5 linked regions of the Oryzias latipes genome follow. The protein of the gene in region 4 purifies or fractionates together with the protein of the main gene of each other region. This does not show direct contact. Links are inferred from orthologs where the notes say so. Each region holds a gene or a part of one and is shown on either strand. Other genes may lie near its edges.

Region 1 (4,267 bases), on a different chromosome or scaffold from region 4:
AATCTTAATCCTTTTAATATAAAATTCTTGTTTTTAAAAGATGAAAATGATTTTAACCACAAGGGGAATCAACTTTAAGCTTGGGTCAAGGTTTTTCACATTGATTCTGACCTGAAACTTGTTTTTCTGCTATGAAATCACTTCCAAACGAACCTAATTCTCTGTTCGTAAAGTGAAGCATTCCCTCTGGATTTTAGTCGTTTTCCTGTTTGAAGGCAGAGATTTTTTTTTCTTTGGTCTCAAACATTTAGATGATAAAATGAATAAATTGAGATGAGTCGGGGTTCCTACCTTTCCTGTTTTAAAGCATATTCTAACATCTTGATTCTTCGAACCAGATCGTTCTTTAGGTTCTCCTGGCCCTTCCTCTCCCCCTGCAGGAACGCTATCCGGGCCTGGAAAGACGCAGAACAGAAACAAATGTTTCAAAACTCTTATGTACACAAAAATATTGTGTCAAGAAAACAACCGAGTCACTTCCAGAGAAACCAAATCCTCCTGGATCTTCTCTTTATGATAGGTTTCTGAAAGATATGGGAGTCACTCTTTAAAGATTGTTTACATGGTTGTTGAGTTGAGTGAGGTCATGTGACACCTACATGAATCAGACACTGGAAAGGAGGTTCGGTGAGCAGCTCAGCCTAAATGTATGGCGATGACAAACCAGACAGAGTTCCTGTGAGTCATCGGGAGCTTCTCAACACCCCTGACCAAAACAGCACATGTGGGCTGCAGTTATTCAACCACGTCACCTCATTAAAACGCCACTGTCGTTGTGTCAGTACAGCTATTTAAGACCGACGACGTCACACTGTCAGAGTTTTGCTCTGAATTCATGTCCAGAGGAGCAAAACGTGGCTCTGGAAGCTGGAAGATACAATACAATTGATTTTTTTTTTACATTTATTTTTGGCTTTTTGAGGTTGCTGTGTAAACATCTAGTGCCATCTAGTGGCAACATTGCAGAAGAACAAAAAGACTTAAAACATGAGGAGGAAAAATTTAATAAAATCTAAAAAATGAAAGAATTCGACAGTTTCTAATAAAAAAAGAATGATTTAAAAACACATTTATTATGTAAAATATTGTGTACATCAATAACAGCGCAGACATAATGCCATAACAGGAAAAAAAAGCATATTTTGGTTAAAACTAACTCCTTTTTCCTCGTTATTATAAACCCACCAGTGTCTCCTTCTGCTTCGTGAGTTAAATTTTAAGGGAATTTAAATATCAAATCTCCAAAAGGGAGATCCATGCAGTTTGATGTGAGAGCCTGACGTTGGTTCAGGGTCACCTACTTCTATAAATATCTGATTGGACCATCCTTTGGGTTGTGACATCACAGACCAGGATCAGAGCAGAATCCTCCGGCCTCTTCATCATCCTCATCCTGGAGACTCACAATACGTTCAATGGCTCTGAGGAGTAACCTTATTGTTCAATGGTGATGAAATGATATCACTACCAACACTCTCATTTTGTTTTTAGCCTTTATTAAAGCGTCCCCCCCCCCCCCCCCCCGACAGAAACATCTCCACAGCTGAGATGATGCCAGATATTCCTTCTAAAAACCCAAAAGGGTCTGCTTCTGTCACACAAACTGAGATGTAGAAGCAGCAGATCTGCTGCTGGACACGGCAAAGCCAACACACACCTGGAGCTCCATGAAGAACATGGAGCAGCTCCAGATCCCGCTTCTCTCATCGGGAAGTCATGTTTGTTTACAGGCTGTTTCCAAGGAGAAATCCACAGACTTCAAATGGAAAATGTACAGGAATTCATGTAAATAAATAAAAAAACTGACAGCAAATAAAGACCTAGAATGCAGGAGATCTTCCAGAGGGAGGTGTGACCTGAAAGATGCTTCGCAGCCAACCAGAGAACCAGAAAAAGCCACTTTTCTATGTATAGGTTGATTAAAAAAAACCTCCAGAATCACGGATTTGAATCGGTAAGGTCATTCGTTTAGGGTCGTCTGACTGTCACGAACAACATCTGACCAACATCTGGTCCAAATGTCAAAACAGCACGATTAACGTATCCACGGCGGCTGCAGGCTCCCGATATCTCAGTTGAGCCACGGGCTCCAAAGCTAACGGCCAACGCACTCAGACTCCCGGCTGGATAACAGACCTCCACGCCGGTTACTCGTCCCCCTTGACATGTCAGTGGGGCTCCGGTCGCTACCTTAAATTCACGTTAATACGTATACCGATAAAAGGTTATTTGAGATCCCCGGTGACTGTGGAAAAAAAGAAGCTAACCATGCTAATGCTAAGCAGCTAACCCATAGCGACGGACTAACCTGGAGTTCGGCCCGCTCCACCTCCCAGTGCGCCCTCTCCATTTCGAACCGGGCCCACTCGTGCTGGATGTAGTGTAGAATTCCCGGGATAGTGTACTGCTGCTGTGGCCGGGCTAACTCGTCCGTCTGCTGGGGCACCATGACCGTTCCGATGGGAGGTCCGGAGTTGCTCCCGTGCTGCTGCAGCGGCGGCGGCCGCGGGGAGGCCGCTCCTCCCCCGCCTGGGTGTTCGTCCATATTTCGGGTTTTGTTAGAACGTGCGGCGCCGTTTGTACTTAATGATTAGCTAACCGATTTTAAATATTAAAGAAGGAAAAAAAAAGGCGCCGAAGGCCTCGCGCGTCTCCGCCGGGGTACTTGTCGCGCTGGCACCGCCGCCGTGGAAGAGGCCGGCTGCCCCTGAGCGCTTAGCGGAGAGCGGCGACTTGGAGGCGGTGTTTACGTGTGAGTCTCACCGGCCGCCATCACTGCTGTCCGCCTGGATGTGACGGCTGCGAGGGGGAATCCTGCCGCGCTGCATGCCGGGAAATCCAGACACACATTTAGACCCCAAACCTAAAAATAAAATTACGGAGCCCGTGTCCTGACATTAAGATATAAAAATATATCTTGTTCCCACAGATTAATATCTTGTTCCCACAGGTTATTATGTCGTTCGCACGAAATACTATTCCGTTCCCACAAGATACTTTTCCGTTCCCACAAGATACTATTGCGTTCCCTCAAAATACTATTCCGTTCCCTCGAAATGATTAACTTGTGCGAACGCAATAATTATGTCGTTCGAACGCAATAATTAATCCGTTCGAACGCAATAATTATTCACGTCATAAGTCATTCACGCGGATATGCTCTCTGTACGCCGGCAAAAGCCGCTTTCAGCGGTAACTTCCGTGTCTCTGTGACCCATATTCGTTCAAAAAAGGAACATGAAAAACAAAAATGATCACTTTATTACCGTCTCAATGAATATAAGAAAAATATCAAAAGATTTATGATAACTAGGCTGCTTTGTCAAACGATAGCTCCTGCTAGGCTAGCTCCGCCGCAGAGCTCTCTGTCTGATCATGTATGCCGGCATTTGGGCAACTGGCTGGTCTGTTGTCAGACAGCTGATATTGTAGTTTAGGGTCGAATAGGAATAATAATATTCAGGACTTGTCTTTTATTAACTTTAGCAGTCAGTATTTTTACATTCGAAGGCTATTAGGCTACATGCTAACTGACTAGCCGATCATTTCCTGTTATTAATTTACGTCATAGATTTACAGCAGATACCTTCACATTTCTGTCTGTGTGTGTCTCATTACATTGCATTGAAGACACGGAGGATGTTTAGAGAACAGATTTATTTATTTTATTTATAAAAGCACAGAAGCATCCATCGTTTTCACGTTCACATCTGGTACGCCCTCAGTCATCTTGCTGCAAAAGCCGCTTCCTGCCGCTACTTCCGTGTCTCTGTGAGCATTCAATAGGGGTAAAAATAAAAGCAAGAATGGTCGATCTGTTATTTTCTCGATGAAAATCTGAAAAATATCATATTAAGCTGGATGCTTCGCCTAAAGCACTTACCTTTAGCTTGTAGCATAACAACAATAGCAGTACGTCCCGTTTCCCAGAGTGCTTTGCTGCAAATCACTGGCCAATCATTGGTCTTGTTGTTAGACCTTGGTCACAGGGACACGGTGATTGGCTAGTGATTGGCAGCAAAGCACTCTGGGAAACGGGACGTACTGCTATTGTTGTTATGCTACAAGCTAAAGGTAAGTGCTTTAGGCGAAGCATCCAGCTTAATATGATATTTTTCAGATTTTCATCGAGAAAATAACAGATCGACCATTCTTGCTTTTATTTTTACCCCTATTGAATGCTCACAGAGACACGGAAGTAGCGGCAGGAAGCGGCTTTTGCAGCAAGATGACTGAGGGCGTACCAGATGTGAACGTGAAAACGATG
Region 2 (4,166 bases), on a different chromosome or scaffold from region 4:
GTGGTAAACAAACTAGTGAGGGAAACCCAAAGAAGCTAACCCAACTCAAGGACTTTTTTTTTAATTCCATACATCTGTACTTTTTTATCGTCTGGCAGTCCGATCAATCCAGTCCAAGTTTTGACGCTTGGTAACCTGTGAAAGGCTGGTGAACCAAAACAGCCCACTTAGAAAGTCAAATCACATGATTCATTTCTGCTGCCATGAAGTAGGTTTTGTGTTGTGGAGGTGGTGAGGTTGACAATGTCCAGAGTTTTTTTTTTTTTTTTACTTTTTTGCACAAAGATGTTTTGTTTTTCACACCTTGGGGGATTTATGACCCTAGCAGGATTTGTTTTTACTGCTGAGCAGTGTTTTCTGACGCCTCGTGTTACCGCTCTGCTCAGTAACAGCTGTTCACTCTGCCTGATGATTACGCCAGGTTTCTTCTTTAAAAACTGTTTGCGGGGCTGCAGGTAATTCTTTTTGGGGTGCGTCAAAACAACAAAAGAGGAGGTGACGGGGCGTGTCTTTATGGTGGAACAGAACCGGAAACATAGTGGATAGAAAAATATGGTCGCTTGAACGCGTTTTTAAAGTGTGTTCATGGTCATTGTGTCTAAAAGATTAAAGCAGAATCTAATCGGCAGTAATTTACATGTTTGTAAATATTTAAATTTTGGTATCTATGGGTAAACGGCAACTGTATTTTTTCACACTTTGCTAAAAATCGTAAACTTTAAATACCCGTTTTAAACTGTAAACATGAGAAAGGACTAGTTTTTTAGTTTCTCTAGATGGGAAAACTTTTACTTATTGAGGGACAGTGAAATGTGCTTTAAGGGTAATAAGAACCGACTTGTCTAATTCTAATCAAGGAAACAATGGTTTTCAACAGGGTCCTTTAGATTTGAATGGGATGCAGGCCTTAGAGGGGTAACAGGATATCCTGTCCATTAAATGTATCTTCTGAGATTTACCTGCAGTTCTGTTCTGCTGAGGAACTGCTTAGCATGAAAGCTTTGAGTTCAATCTTTGGCCAAGGAGTCAAATACCCGGGTTGTCCTTGCAGCTTTGTTGTTTTTTGATTGTGCATGCATGTTTCCCTCTGTGTGTCCACTTTCTTTAGCCTTGGTGCTGCCTGTTTGTTGACTTCCTGTCAAACAGTGGCTCCCTCCCTCCTCTTCCTTCTTTTCTGTTGCTCTTACCGCTGCCCGCTGTACCCCCTCCTGGCTCCTTTCTCCTTGTTCTTTAATCTCACCCTCCCTGAGCCTGTGTTGGGTGTCATCAGGCCTCTTATGTAATGGACATGTACAGGACGGTGACTGATGCTGTGGAGCCGTGCGCCTGACCGGTCTCCACAGTCCTGCTTTCATCCGTGTCCTTTGGTGCTTCTGGTGGTTTGCTGCTGGTTGCTGTCCAGTCTGAGGGAGGCCTTTTGAGAAAGGGACTGATGGTTGTAAAAGAGGATTGTAGTGCCTCTTTGCAAAGGTAAGGGCATTTGGTGTGCCTGTACATGCATCACATTTTCCTTTGGCTGTAGAATATCTTTACCCTCATTGATGCTGCCGTTTACTGCAGATCCTCCTTGTACGCCTTTACAACAGACTCCATTATTGCAGAGTAGAGCTGGTTTATCAGAACTGAAGGAAGTGTATAGCTGGGGTTGAAGTTTTACCTGCAGAAAATCCTCAGTCTGAACCTTTTCGAATTGTAATGAGTCAATCTGCTAATCTTTTTGTTTTTACCCCCTTTCAACACGATGGGCATACTAGTCTTTGGTGTGTTTGAGGAAAAGTTGTTAAATGAACAAGGTTATTTGAAAGGCATGTGTACTTTTTGAACATTTGATGAGGTTCTGAACTGTCTCATTAAAAATAAAAGGCATTCCTGGTGTTTTCAAATGTTTGTGAGATTAGATTAGAATTGTCAGGGTGCCAGATTTCAGACGAGGCTAATCCTACGATGTGTTTAGCATTGCGCTGTATAGCTCAAATACCATATATTTTTACTGCCGTATTCATTTTAGACTATTTAGATTAACGTTATTTTTATTTGAGTGTGTTTATAGGAGAGTTTGATAATTAAACATTTAAGTGAAAGTCATGAAACAACTGAAGCCACACTTTAGTCCTCATATGTCAGCACAGCAAGACTTGTTACCACTTAAACCGGCAGCAGAAGAATTTATCTGCTCCAAGAATTTTCCACTTAGGTAATGGCATTCTGTAAATGAGGGTAAACCTTTAACACACATGGAAAAATGTTGTCTGACCAGATTTCCTCGTGCCATACTTGTAAGTTTATATAGCCTTGTAAGGCTGCACAATATGAGGATATTAGGGATCAATATTGCGATGACGATCTTACTTGCTATATATAAACAAATAGCAAAACAACCAAAAACATAATTTCTATGTCACTGCAGTTTAATTTAAATAAGAGTCAACATATCTTAAATTATACCCCAAATGAAATAGTCTACATGGGAGGAGAGCATCTAACATAATAAAAGGGCTTCATCCGATTGGTCAAATGCATAAATGGGTTTATTTAATTCGCTAAATACTTCAAGCTGCCATAAAATTGTTTTAGCACATTTAAAGTAACCATTTATTGCGATTTTTGCCGTATTTTGCGATATGCATATTGCACAGCTTGATAACGCGGTAACGGTAAATTTGCGATTGAGTATGTAGGCCTATAGCCTTGTTATTGTCTTTTTATTGATTTATTTACATTAATTGCATTTTAAAGAGTCATTATATTAAATCTGGAACAACAAACCATCTTGTATATCGGTCTAGACTGCAACACTTTGATGAAAAGACTTAAATGAACGGACTCAAACTGACCAGAAGTAACAGCACAGAATCATCAGCGGGTTCAAATATTACCAAATTTTAAATTTAGACCGTTCTGCTGACCCACAAAAATCTAGACTAAAACTTTCTTTAATGAGCTATAAAATGACTGTGGAAGGCGAACATGTTAGAGATTCCCTGTTATTGTTTTACCACCACCACACTTTCAAATGTAGAATGAGAAACGGGCAACATTTTAAACGCTCAGTGTGCTGTTCATGGTAACCCTCACTCTCATGCTCAGAGTCAAAACCAGGAAAAAGTTCAAGTTCTTCTTGCTCAGTTCAGCCAACACCTTCTGAGCTAGCCGAGTTGTGTGGGTGGAAATATTCCACCATGGCTTTGATGACTCTGACGTTTCCTCAGTATGTTTGACTGAACACATCTAATCCAGGTAATCTTTGCTGGGAAAGATGGGGAAAAAGGACATGGTAGGGGATCTGGAAGATTAGGGTTGGGCAGCCCGGTTCTAGACTGGTCTTTGAAAAAGCAGTAGGTAAATGCAATCCATACATGCATAGGCCAATTATGGCAGAATTCATTAATGATTGGAAAGGTGCAGATGTGTCATCAAATATTTATGGTTAAGTTTAGGTAAAGCAGGTTCAATTGAAATGAACGCTTTTAGCTTTTCAAAGACCAGCTCCAGAAGAGCTTTGAAGGAGGTGCTTCAGATATAGGCAGGGACATGATAAAGAGAAGGGGTGATGGTTTCAATTATCTGTGCAGTACAGATGAGTGGGAAACAAAATAACGCTTGAGACAACAATGAGGACGACGCTCACAAACCTACTGCTTCAGTAGCATCCGCCAATGCTGAACTCACCAGTTGGCTGATCAGGAATGCCGCTTTTCTCCATACCTTTAAAATGCTAGACATTAGCGTGTCTCAGAGCGGATCCAGCTGCTGATTGTTCCACCCATTTCCTTTGTCTGGGAGGAGGCAGAACATGAAGACATGCTGAGGGAATTTAGGATGAACTCACCATAATGCTAACTACCGTAGTAACTGGTGTCACTTACACTATTCCTCACAGGGAACTCCTTAACATCTGCTGCTTTTGAAAAAAAAGTTTTTATTCTTCACTTGGTATTTCCTTACTTATAATTCAGCGTTAGAAATAAAGGGGAAAAAATGGTTGTCCTCTGGACAACCTGGCAAGTAATATTTGGTTGTCCTCACCAATTTTTGGTTGTCCTTCGATACCAATATTCAACAGCAACGAAACCTACTCAGATGACAGTACTTACATCTCTTCTATACATCTAATAGCAACTGCCTCTTATGATGGATATTTAAAAAACTTTAAATATTAAAAACAA
Region 3 (3,975 bases), on a different chromosome or scaffold from region 4:
TGAAATGGTTTCATTCTCCATTTTCTTGATCTTTTTCATGAGCTTGTTAACCTGGAACTCTTGCTCTTGCTCAAGGTGCTGCTCCAACTCTGCCTTCTCATGCTGGAGCTATGGAGGAAAAAGAAACAAGGGCAAAGAAATGAAAAGACGTGAGTGAAACAGACTAAACCAAGGACAGAAAAGACTAGCCAAGCAGACAGGGAGACATTTCATAGTTAGTCATGCTAAAACCATTTAAACCAGTTGTCAGATCACAGAATTTGGTTTTAATTTTCAAAATACTTTCAAAATGATGGAGAGAGAAAAAAAAAACATCCATTTGGACTAAAACATAGCAGTTTTTTGGAAGCTCAGTAAGGGTGTGGCAGAATGTAATTCAAAATAGGGCCTCTCTACAATGGATTATGCAAGTGATTAGTCATAATGCAGACGGCCATTTGAACTTGTGTAGGGAAAAGCTGCAGAGAAAATGTGGAAATGACAATTTTCATAATCCAACTAAGGGAAATGACAAAAAATATTTCAAATTTGTTTAATTGAACCCTTTATTTTGACAGAAACAAAACAAACGGTGGTCTTAGTCACAGCCTCAATGATAATTTAGATCAAATGACTCCCACCTCTCTATCCTTTCGTAACAAAACATGTACAGTTTCTCCTGCAGCTCCAGAAAAGGAACTGATAGATTTGTTGACTTCTAAAAAGACTCCAGCACACCATCTTTATTATAAGGTAGCATATTCAATTGGCTGAACAACAAATGTTTAACTACCACTTTTAAATATGTGACAAAGATTTTAAAGCTGTCTCTATTATTAGTTTAGTCAGAGAAATGTAAGCTCTATTAAATAAACTTTAAGAAACTCGCCGTTTTTAAGAGGCAACTAAAGGTAACAGTGTTGTATTTGAAATGTTTTACCACAATCAGTTGAACCCACTGATGATTCAGTAATAATACAGCATTTTCAACAGAGGAAAACCATTATTGTCACATCACATCACAATAACTGGCCAATAATTTGGGTTCATATCATTGAAAAGTTGTCAAGTGGCACCAAGTCAAACAAATAAAATCATTATAGAGGTTAGACAAGGAAGTAAGTCGTTTTGTTCCTACTGCCAAATTTTCCCACTCGTGTATTTAAACATGTGAAACGAGGTGAGAGACTAAGGTTGAAGAGGATTTCCTATTTGGCATTTTTATTTTACACAACTCTGTTTTTTCTCCATAAAAAAAACAGTAGTAAATTAATAAAGATCAAATAAATCGGTTCTTGAATCTATTAAGCCATTAAAATTCTCACAAACAAACTCACTTGCATGAGTTTCCTTGACAGCTCATTGGTGAGAAATTCTTCCTCCTTCTCATAGTTGACTGCTAAGGTCTCCTTCTCCTTTTGGAGGGCCTGGATCTTCTTGAACAAAGTGTTGCTGATAAACTCTTCCTCCTGTTCCGCTCTTGCTTGCTGTGGGGAGGAAAGATATATAGGATCAGGAATTAAAGAAAGGACCTGGCGGACATGGCAAAGCAAAGCGGTTTTTATCTTGATTAAAACGTAAAAACGATCCCAGGAGAAATTGACAGATATACACCACTCACTCAGTCTGCTGCAGTGAAGTCTGCAAGCCAAATAGGGAGCTTAATTTGACCAGATGACTCAATAGATATTGCAGTATAAGCTGACTTGCAGCGCAGGAAGGAGTGACACATTAGGGCTGCAATGTGTAGGGCTTGGGGGAGCAGCTAGCATTTCAGTGTGATGATACGTTTGCCCTTGCCAGTCTCATTATTCATCCCCAATTCCTCTCATTCAAGGTTAACAAGAACTGACAACTTGAGATGTTTTTGAGGAAAATCTATTAATAAACAAGAATTCAAAATAGTTGGTGACAATTCAGCTACAAGAAAGTGAACAGTTTGAAGGTTTAATTTCCTCACACTCACAAACTTAGTTATTTGGCAGTCTGTTGAGCTCGTTAAGTTTGGTCTACATACTCTTCATCCATCCAACAGATCTGTTACACATTTATATGAAGCTGTGGCTCAGTGGCCAAGCATGCAGACACATGACGACGCGACAATTCATGCACATTTTTTGTAGCTGATTTATTAATTTTCATTCAGACACCTTTAATCTTCTTGCTAATGTATCAACGACGTTATCAAAGAGAAACCCTCCCAATCCAAATGACAAAAAGTAAATATTTTAAATTGTGTACCGATGAGTCCACGTTTAGTTTGGCATCGTTTTGATACAGTTTTGCTAACGTTAGCCAAAATTAGCTAAAGGAAAAAAACAAAGCAGCTTTGCTGGCTAATTTAGCAACAATGTTACAGTTAAAAAACAGCTAAACAGAGAAAAACATAAATTCAATTGCATTCAAATTAGAATTATTATATTGTTGTGATTTATTGGCAAATTACACAAAAACGAGCATTCCTTACTTGCTGACAAATGAACTGTACTTATAGCGTGGGATAGCATATAGCAGTTAGCTTGCTAACGTTACTCACAATGGTGACGCTAGCTTTGCGAAGGTCTCGGTTCTCCTCCTGCAGGGCTTTGCACTTCAGTTTAAACGTCTCCAGCTCAATTTTAAGAACTTTGTTCTCCTGCTGTAACGATGCAAGACGATTTGTCAGCTCTTCCAGACGAAACTGTGAAATGACTATGCTCGGTTTTGCAGAACTGGAGGCAGAGGATGACATCGGAGTGGCTGAACTGCTCCCCGCACCGTCAGTGTCGCTCTCGCTCGCGCTGTCCGCCATGGCTGTGCGACAGTGTGTGAAGCAGGGGAGGATGGACGACAGCAGTTGCAGATACTATGGCAAGCCAAAAGGGCCAAAATTTACAAGGAAGTATACCATTTACTGAGGTCCCTGACTGTTTATGACTGAAAAATATAAACAAAGATAGTAAACCCATATTTAAATTTTATTTTATATATAACCTGAAATCTTATTCCTTCCAACATACCTCGTCAGAGGTCGCCACAGTGAATCAGCTTTCACTGAGTCGCACATTTGGTTTGGCCGTGCTTTTTGCGCCCCCTTGTGGCTGCAGTGTTGATCAGGAGCATGAAAGGCCTTGCTTCCAAACTGGATCGAGCTCATCCCACCCCCTGGGAAACAAACCCTTGTTTCCTATGCACCACGCATACACACAGCCCACTGAGCCATCCAGCTGCTGTTTAACTTAATATTATGACATTTTTTATACTATAACATTATTGTATAAGTCTGTAAATGACAAATATTTAATACAAATATTAACCATTTAATTGTTAGCTATTCATAATATTCATAGTTTTTAAATGATAATACCATCTTACTTGTTTACATTTACTTGTTTTCATTTTATTACATTTTCTTTTCATGGTTACAAACTGCTATGGTAACGCAGAAATTTCCCACATGTGGGATCAATAAAATAATTCTAATTCTGATTCTGATAATTCCAGGCCGTTATTAACACTCATTAGAAAATGTTTTTGCTGTAGTCCTATTTGTTGGGTGCAGTGGAGAAGCTTGAACATTGTAACCCTTGTGCTATCTTAGATGACCCCACCCTTAATTTGACGTGTTCACCAGTGAGGTTCACAAATCATTGAAGAAAAAAGGTTCAGTGGACTGTCTAGTCGGTCTAGATGACCCAACTTCCAACGTTAAAGTGCCTAGGATAGCACAAAGGTTACGTGGGGAGGGAGGAAGAAGGGAAAAGACTTTAGAAGAGTGGGAAATGGGAACAGCAGAGTGGAAGGCCATTACAAATGAAACAATCAAAAATACACGTCAAACAGTTTTAATATTGTTAATAATATTCAAACAGCAGTTCTTTTACCTGAGATACCATTTATAATGCTCAAAGAAGCATGTATTGATGGTTTCTTAATCTTTGTCAATACTGATGCTAATGTTGACTCAGAAATTATGTCAGACGTGGGAGGGAAAGTTTTTTACAGGGGAGGCAGCTG
Region 4 (4,199 bases):
CAGCAGGTCGGTCCAAAGCTTCTATGGAGCAAAACACCATCTATGTATGACGTCAAACCAGAGCAGTAGTGACACACGATCGGAATGAACTGTTTACATGAACAACGATCGAATCCACAATCGGCATAACCCACCTATCTCGATCGGAAAGAAATTTTGATCCGAACAAGTCAGAGTATTACGAACGGCGTGTTTACATGACGCATTTTTCTTCCGATCAGGCGTTCTTTCCGATTACTTTTGTCCATGTAAATTCAGCTAGTGAATCCCTGTGATGTCATCCAGGTGTCAGTGAATCCCTGTGATGTCATCCAGGTGTCAGTGAATCCCTGTGATGTCATCCAGGTGTCAGTGAACCCCTGTGATGTCATCCAGGTGTCAGTGAACCCCTGTGATGTCATCCAGGTGTCAGTGAACCCCTGTGATGTCATCCAGGTGTCAGTGAACCCCTGTGATGTCATCCAGGTTTGTCAGTTTGTTTGGCACAGAGCAGACGGACAGCAGCGGTTTGTCAATAGGACATTTTATTTCACATGTCTGTTGTCTTCATTGAAATTACAGTAATATAGTAGAGATGACTGCTGGCTGCAGCCTTAACAGCTGAAACTCAGAGCTGTTCTACTGAAGCAAACTCTCCTACGTTTCCTTTAAACTGATCTGGCAACAGAAAGAAAGCACAGATGGATGAAGGTGGAGACGGGCGGGGATATAGTGAGCTCTAAAAAACAAAAACAGTTGTTGGAAAAGGATCAAAATATGGCACATTTGGTCCACGTCGGTACTTTTTTATTCTCCTGTTTTCAAACATGTCAGATGGAGAAGATGAAGGTTAACATGCGGCTGAAGCTCAGCTTTAGTGACATCACCGCTCTGTTGAATCTGCTCAATGCATCTTCTCCATTCAAAATGAGAGGGGTGGGGCAGGGGCGGGGCTTGGTGAATGACTTATGGGGGACAATAGGACATTCACAGGAAGTAGTCAGGAGTGCGTCTAGTCACATGAGGCTCGCCGCGGCGGGGGGCGGGGTCAAACTGCAGGCTGTAGAGAGAGGATGAAAGTAAAGGTGCGATTCAGAGACACGTTGGATGAAATGATGATTGGACTCTCTAGGAATGTTCCATCCAGAGACACCCGGGGGGGTGGGACTTACAAAGAGTACTTCAGGGTGTCGTCCAGTTCCATGATGGCTGCCTGGTTGCCGCAGCGATAGCAGTAGTTGGGGGCGCTGAAGATGGTCACCACGTTCTTGTCGTGACCCCAGTTGTAGCCCTGCAGACAGAGGGGTGGGGGTGCATGATCACAAACGGCCCATCCATCCTAACAGCCGGGGGTGTGTGTGTGTGTATGAGGAGTCTCACCTCCATGACCAGCTGATGGGCGCGGGACACCAGAGTTAGGCCGTTGGCGTGGTTGAAGGTTTCAGAAATGTCCTGTCCAAAAGTGTAGCCAGCACCTCTGGGAGAGATGCCCCACCCACCGCGGTCATCCGGGTCAGACCACAGCAGGTCGCACATGGGGCCCTGGGGGGTGGGGGGAGTCAGATTAACACCAACCTGTGCAGCTCTTACCTTCTGCTCTGCAGCAGAGGAGGACGCTGCTGTCGGGGCTGTCCCGCTCCGACCACGTGATCGCAAACCGGAGTTGATCGATCGGTTGCAGACTGGATTGAAATCAGACGTGTCTCCCGATCGGACATAACCCTAACCCGATTATACCATCATTTCAAGCTTATTATTCCAGATAAATACTCTACTAGAAGTCTGCATTTCATCAACGAATCACCACAATTTTTCACAGCTTCGAGTTCCGGGTCAATGACTCTTAATAAAATGTTTTCAACTGACGGCAAGTGTCACGTAAACAACGACCTACGAAAGGATTTTAAGAGAAAAACCATCAGGATTGAAAACGGCGCTGAGATTTTTTCCTGTTCCGATTAAAAATGTTCAACAATTCTGAGGATACTAAAGCTTCAGTCCCCAAACTTTCTGCCATGATTATCAGCAGTTTTGACTAGTTTATAGTTAACTATTCGTACTAGATAGCTGCAGGATTTACTTAATCGTAGAAGTGTTGAATGATAAAAGGAGGAGAATAAAAGAAAAAATGGATCTGTTCATTAATTTGTTTTTTTTTTTGTTTTTTTTTAAAGTACTTCACAAAAGTTTTGGATCAGGACTCTGTATCGGCACAAACTCCAAATCAAAGGATTGGAATGACGTAAGGCCCAAAACACTTGAGCGGGACGTCCAGTGAGGAGCGTGTACCTCATGCGGGACCTCCTGCAGGCGGTCCAGAGCTCGTATGTGGTCCAGAGTGTCTATGGAGGGAGACAGGCCGCCGTGGAGACAGAAAATCTGAAAGGACAGCAAAGGACAGTGTCTGTAGAGCTCCTGCTTCCATGGCCTGACGGTCTGGGTGTAGCGGCTCTCACCTGCCCGTCCACCAGCGCAGTGAGCGGCAGGTAGTCAAACAGGTCTGTGAAGTACTTCCAGACGTTGGCGTTGCCGTATTTCCGCAGACACTCGTCATAGAATCCGTAGACCTGTGTGATCTGACGGGACTCGTGGTTCCCTCGCAGTATAGTGATCCTCTCTGGGAATCGAACCTGCGCATGAAACCTCACATGAACACTGCCAGCTGCCAGCAGGTTCCACAGCATCACACATCGCACACCTCCGGAGAAACCGAGGAAAGACCTCTGCGATCTGGTTAACGAGACTAAAGTCCTCCAACGACAACCACAAAGCTGCACGCAGAGGCGGGACCTCTGACTCCGCCTTTACAGCAAACTTTGAGGAGGTGGGCGGAGTTACAGCCACTGAAAAGACCGACTTCAAGATTAATTTCCTTATTCAGGAGAAGTGTCTGCGGTCCAAAACGGACAACCATTAAGATTAAAAACAGGTAACCTTTAAGAACATTTCTTCTTAAAACAGCCGCCAACTCGCAGAGAAAACACAAACACACAGACACACACGGACACATAGAAACACGGAAACCTTGAAACGAACACAGAAACACAAACACACACGGAAACATAGAAACACACAGAAAGGAACACACAACACTGCCGCTGCCGCTCTGCCACACAAACACACCTCTTCCAACTGCAGGTACGGCCTCCCATATTACCATTTGGCAGAAACCTGACAGTTGTGCAGGTGTGACCACAGAAGACTGCTGACAACAATCAGATGCAGTCCCACCTCCTCAGGCGCTCCCACTCTCAGCAGGAAGGTCTGCTAACGAGGGTTACCTTTAACGTGACGAGCAGCGTGACCGTCTCCACAGAGTAGTAGCCCCTGTCCACGTAGTCTCCCATGAACAGGTAGTTGGTGTCTGGAGACTTCCCTCCGATCTTAAAGAGCTCCATCAGGTCATGGAACTGACCGTGAACGTCGCCGCACACGGTCACCGGGCATCGCACCTGAGGAGACCGTCATCATCAAGTCATGTTGCATTTATCCGTCATGTATTAAAATCCGCTACGTGAAAACAAAGTCTGACTAAACCGTGATCACATGTAGATGACACACGGAACAGCTCGTTAGCATAGCATGGTAGCATTTAGCATCATTGCAGGGTAGCATGTAGCATGGTAGCATTTAGCATCATAGCATGGTAGCATTTAGCATGGTAGCATTTATTATCATAGCACGGTAGCATTTAGTGTCATAGCACGGTAACATTTAGCGTCATAGCATGGTAGCATTTAGCATGGTAGCATTTAGTATCATAGCATGGTAGCATTTAGCATCATAGCATGGTAGCATTTAGTATCATAACATGGTAGCATTTAGTATCATAGCATGGTAGCATTTAGCATCATAGCATGGTAGCATTTAGTATCATAGCATGGTAGCATATAGCATGGTAGCATTTAGTATCATAGCATGGTAGCATTTAGTATCATAGCATGGTAGCATTTAGTATCATAGCATGGTAGCATTTAGTATCATAGCATGGTAGCATTTAGTATCATAGCATGGTAGCATTTAGTATCATAGCATGGTAGCATTTAGCATCATACCATGGTAGCATTTAGTATCATAGCATGGTAGCATTTAGCATTATAGCATGGTAGCATTTAGCATTATAGCATGGTAGCATTTAGTATCATAGCATGGTAGCATTTAGTATCATAGCATGGTAGCATATAGCATGGTAGCATTTAGTATCATAGCATGGTAGCATC
Region 5 (4,139 bases), on a different chromosome or scaffold from region 4:
AGCTTCCTCCCCAGTTCCCTTTCAGACATTCTGGATCCGTTAGCTTAAAACGACAACTGTCAAATATAGGGCTCATGCGGCGTTTAGGTTCTGTGGGAAATCCGAGCTTTCTGACGATTGTCTTTTTAAAATGTCACTTAAATGTGACAAATATTGTTACAACCAAACTAATGGAAATTATGAAAGTTGCGTGAAAAGGTGATTTGATAGGTTTTTAATAGCCTAAAAGCGTTTGCGCTGTACTTTTTCCGATCTCGCGATAGGTTTTTAGTAAGTTGACTCGATGCTGCCGCCCTGCGTTCGAAGAAGGGACAACACCTCAAATGCCTTGGAAAAACACTTCTTTTATTATTATCGTTTGATTTTGTTTTACACCAAACCATGAAGTTAAACTGAATTCCTGAGATGAAAACAGAACGTTTTTCATTCATACAAAAAAATTAAAAAACACCTACTGCACAAAATGCAACAGCACAAACCAAACTTCTGTTCATTCAAACAAACAGGTAAATATAATCAGAATAAACTGCTTGTTTTCCCCAAAGGTCCTCTCTGTTGTGAAACAGAGCGGTGCTTGGCTTTAATAGGAGGCAGTAGAGATTGTGTGAACATCAGGGGTCCAAAAAAACTATGACGATTAAATATATATCTTTGGCAAAAAAATACTTTAAATCTACTTTGACAGCACGTGTTAGAATCTAATAAATACACCTCAAAGAACAGCTAATTGAATGCCGTCCACAGTAACACTTTAATTATTATCTTAGCTGCAGACAAGATGATAGATCTTTTTTTTGTATTAAAGATGCCGTATGACTTTCTATAAATAAATCCATTTGAGGGAATAAATTCACACGCAGAGCTCGATGGAGCTCATGAAGTCGGTTCTGCTGCTTCAGGCTGGTGGGGTTCTTCTTTTTTTGACATTTTGATGCTTTCTTTGCTGATGACCAAAAGGTCCTGAAGCTCCTTGTTCTCAATCTGAAAGAGAGAAAAAAACCAAGAGACTGAATACTTTCCTCCCAACGGACTCCATCTACTACTTTTCTTCTTCACTAAAACAAAAGATTTAAATGTGTACATGTGATAAGATTTACACGTCTTTCACAATTAAAATGTTGTACTGCCTATATTGTTTGTTGTTCTAGATAAAAGAAGAGTATGAAATAAAGACAAATGCCTACATTCTCTGTATTAAAGTATTTTACATAGAACATTTGAAAAAAACCAAAGTCTTGTTAAAAACGCCAACCTGGGACTGAGTTGCCTAAACACAGCAGTTTTCATCATTCTTAGTTTTTTTAATGTATATAAAATGATTTTATAGGAAAAAAGAACATTTATGCAATAAAGCTGCAAGAATCAAACAAATATGTGATCTTTAGAATGTTTTACTGGACAGCTTCCTGTTTTTTAGAAAAAGACATTTCGTTCAAAACCTTCAGGCTACAACTTTATCTCTGGAAGTTTTTAAGAGAAAAAAAAAGGTTTCTGTAAGTTTTAAGTGACGCAGTGAAGTCAGATCTGGAGGTGAAATGGATGGATGGACCAAAACAAAAGGAGTTCCTTCTCAGATCTTTGGTTCTTGTGACAAACGTCTGCTGTTGTGAAGGTTTTCGTGGGCCCTCCTCCGTCCCCTCTGCTGCTTTTAATACTGCTTTAGGGGGAAGAAATGACCTCTGACCTCTTGGGGAAAGAGGCTCGATCGTCGGTACTCACCTCCAGCTGAGCCAGCCTCTCTCGAACGGAGCAGTAGTGCTGATCGTCCACCTGAACGGCTCTTCTCATCACCTGACCCATCTCGCATATCTGCTCCACCTTGTTCTGCACTTCCTGTAGAGACAAGTAAAAACGCCACGAGTTTTCTCCCAAAGCCGGCCCTCAAAGAGACGATGTCACGCTGCACAAAGATGGTGTGAAAGACGCTGTACTTTGGCGTAATCCTGGTGGAGGCTCAGAACCGGTTTGGTGTCCAGCTCCTTCTTTGCCATCATCAGCTGCAGCATCTGCTTGCGGTACCGACCCATGATGAGTTCCAGAGCGTACTGGTGTTCTTCAAGAGACAGCCATAATTCTGAGGAGAAAGTCCACCCAGAGGGTTAGAACAAACACGACCCACCGTGGAAACCGCCCGAACAGAATCCTACCTTTGTTCTCCTGCTGCAGATCCTTGATTTGAGTGTTTTCTTGGGTCAGAAGAACATGAGGTTTGTACTTTGTGAGCTCCCGTAGTTCTGCATTGTCTTCCAAGTGCTGTCAAACAAAATGTACTAACATGTTATTTACTAGCAAAAGTTATCCATTAAAAAATCCCACTGGTATTTTCAGCAGCTATGGCCGCCCAGCACCTGAACGTCTCATCCGCCGAGTCTTTACCTTCTCCGGAAGGGCATTTCCCACCTCCTTCATGTCCTGCACTCTGCGGCTGAGGGCCCCGGACTGCTCGATCAGACCCTCGGCGGCCGTGTCGTGCTCCTTCAGCCTCTCGAGGAGGGTCCGAGCGTCGCCCAACACTTTCTCCAAAGTGCAGGCCATTTACTGGAAAGCGTCAGGTCCGCGGGGCGACGCGATCGAGCCCCTGCTTCACGAGCGCGGTTCCAGCGAAACTCCCTCCAACTAAGTTGGCTCGAGCTCGGCGCGTAACCGCGGCGCTTCCGAGCACAAGCCTTGCGGGAACTTTCCCGCCTAACGCCTGCACTGTTTTCACACGGTATGGAGAAAACGGTCAAAACAGCAAACAAACGCTTTAAAAGTACCCCCACCTATCCGTCAAGCAGACGATACACTGCGATCAATGATGACGTCACTTCCGCGTTTTCCCCGCCCCCTCTTATGATGCATTCAAAGACAATAATGATAAGGAAAAATAATGATTATCAATGAAAACGAATTAATCTACAACAAAACGTACTAATTTCTTTGCAATCAGAATCGAATAAAGTATATGAAGAAAAAGCAGGAGAAGCCTTTGTTAGATCCAGAAGAAAATGGTTAGAACAAGGTGAAAAATGTACTAAATACTTTTTCAACTGAGAACAAAGAGATTTTGAAATTTCCTGTCTGCGTCAAATTAAAATTGGTAATTCAATAAGTGAAGATACAAAAAAGGTTTCTCAATATGTTGCAAAATTCTATCAGGAAACTTACACTAAAATTTGCTTTAGAGAAGAAGATATTGAACTATTTATCAACAATATTAAAGAAAAGATTGGAAAAGTAATTGAAACCTTTGAAAAGTCTTGTGACCAGAAAATTAAAACAGAGGAAGTTGAAAATTGTAGTAAATCTCTTAAAGATAATAAAAGTCCAGCAAATGAAGGACTAACAAGTGAGTTTTATAAATGTTTTATTGCCAAATTAACCTCTTTTCTAGCTAATTTATTTGAAGAAGTGTTAGAAATTGGTATATTGCCCCCAACTCTCAGACAAGGCATCATCAAACTCATCCCCAAACCACAAAAAGATAAATTATGCATAGAAAACTGGAGACCAATTAGTCTGTTAAACAATGATGCTAAAATATTTGCTCTCATTTTTACCAAAAGATTAAAACCAGGACTGGATAACATTATTGAAGAAGAATGATCTGCTTTCATGCCTGGTAGAAATATTGCCAACAATATCAGATTAATACTAGATATCTTCTTCCTCTTTCGGCTTCTCCCATCAGGGGTCGCCACAGCGAACGCGTGGTAAACAGGGCGTGGTAAATTTGGCAACGTTTTTATGCCGGATGCCCTTCCTGACGCAACCTTCTCAAACTGGGCTTAGGACCGGCACAGAGGTAGAGAAGGGAGCAGGGAGCAGCCTGGAGTCGAACCCTGGTTTCACGGACAGAAGGCGCCGCAAACACGAGCTAAACCGGCTCCCAGATTAATAGTAGAAATGATTGATTATAATGAACATATTAGAGATGATGGTTTTATCTTATTTGTTGACTTTTACGAGGCATTTGACATAATTAGTCACAGTTTTATGACTCCAGTTATAAAAGAATTTGGATTTGGTAAAAGATTTTTAAAAGTGATGGAGGGTCTGTACAATGGATGCAACAGCTCCATTAAAGTTGCACATGGCACAACTCCTAGATTTGACACAAACAGAGGAATATGGCAGGGATGTCCTCTTAGCCCTTTCCT

What was found.
Region 1: the proteins of ppp2cb (region 4) and strn3 purify together in Homo sapiens (affinity purification with mass spectrometry; 5 studies listed by BioGRID and IntAct, counting the BioPlex papers as one, with this or other methods). This does not show direct contact. The link is inferred for Oryzias latipes from reciprocal best matches to the Homo sapiens genes PPP2CB and STRN3.
Region 2: the proteins of ppp2cb (region 4) and serine/threonine-protein phosphatase 2A 56 kDa regulatory subunit epsilon isoform purify together in Homo sapiens (affinity purification with mass spectrometry; 5 studies listed by BioGRID and IntAct, counting the BioPlex papers as one, with this or other methods). This does not show direct contact. The link is inferred for Oryzias latipes from reciprocal best matches to the Homo sapiens genes PPP2CB and PPP2R5E.
Region 3: the proteins of ppp2cb (region 4) and ccdc6 purify together in Homo sapiens (affinity purification with mass spectrometry; 3 studies listed by BioGRID and IntAct, counting the BioPlex papers as one, with this or other methods). This does not show direct contact. The link is inferred for Oryzias latipes from reciprocal best matches to the Homo sapiens genes PPP2CB and CCDC6.
Region 5: the proteins of ppp2cb (region 4) and sike1 purify together in Homo sapiens (affinity purification with mass spectrometry; 3 studies listed by BioGRID and IntAct, counting the BioPlex papers as one, with this or other methods). This does not show direct contact. The link is inferred for Oryzias latipes from reciprocal best matches to the Homo sapiens genes PPP2CB and SIKE1.

Annotation. Positions count from the first base shown.
Region 1 is NC_019880.2:2,602,531-2,606,797, forward strand, and holds the start of strn3 (striatin-3), read right to left. Parts: upstream 2,807-4,267; 5' UTR 2,546-2,806; coding exon 2,309-2,545; intron 396-2,308; coding exon 292-395; intron 1-291. UniProt on the Homo sapiens protein: Calmodulin-binding scaffolding protein which is the center of the striatin-interacting phosphatase and kinase (STRIPAK) complexes.
Region 2 is NC_019880.2:23,561,722-23,565,887, reverse strand, and holds the start of serine/threonine-protein phosphatase 2A 56 kDa regulatory subunit epsilon isoform, read left to right. Parts: upstream 1-1,360; 5' UTR 1,361-1,432; coding exon 1,433-1,470; intron 1,471-4,166. UniProt on the Homo sapiens protein: The B regulatory subunit might modulate substrate selectivity and catalytic activity, and might also direct the localization of the catalytic enzyme to a particular subcellular compartment.
Region 3 is NC_019873.2:18,424,303-18,428,277, forward strand, and holds the start of ccdc6 (coiled-coil domain-containing protein 6), read right to left. Parts: upstream 2,807-3,975; 5' UTR 2,771-2,806; coding exon 2,516-2,770; intron 1,467-2,515; coding exon 1,317-1,466; intron 109-1,316; coding exon 1-108.
Region 4 is NC_019867.2:193,801-197,999, reverse strand, and holds the end of ppp2cb (serine/threonine-protein phosphatase 2A catalytic subunit beta isoform), read right to left. Parts: intron 3,432-4,199; coding exon 3,261-3,431; intron 2,610-3,260; coding exon 2,436-2,609; intron 2,359-2,435; coding exon 2,269-2,358; intron 1,522-2,268; coding exon 1,360-1,521; intron 1,271-1,359; coding exon 1,152-1,270; intron 1,040-1,151; coding exon 967-1,039; 3' UTR 507-966; downstream 1-506.
Region 5 is NC_019865.2:1,582,247-1,586,385, reverse strand, and holds the start of sike1 (suppressor of IKBKE 1), read right to left. Parts: upstream 2,807-4,139; 5' UTR 2,536-2,806; coding exon 2,377-2,535; intron 2,254-2,376; coding exon 2,148-2,253; intron 2,075-2,147; coding exon 1,932-2,074; intron 1,834-1,931; coding exon 1,720-1,833; intron 982-1,719; coding exon 874-981; 3' UTR 1-873.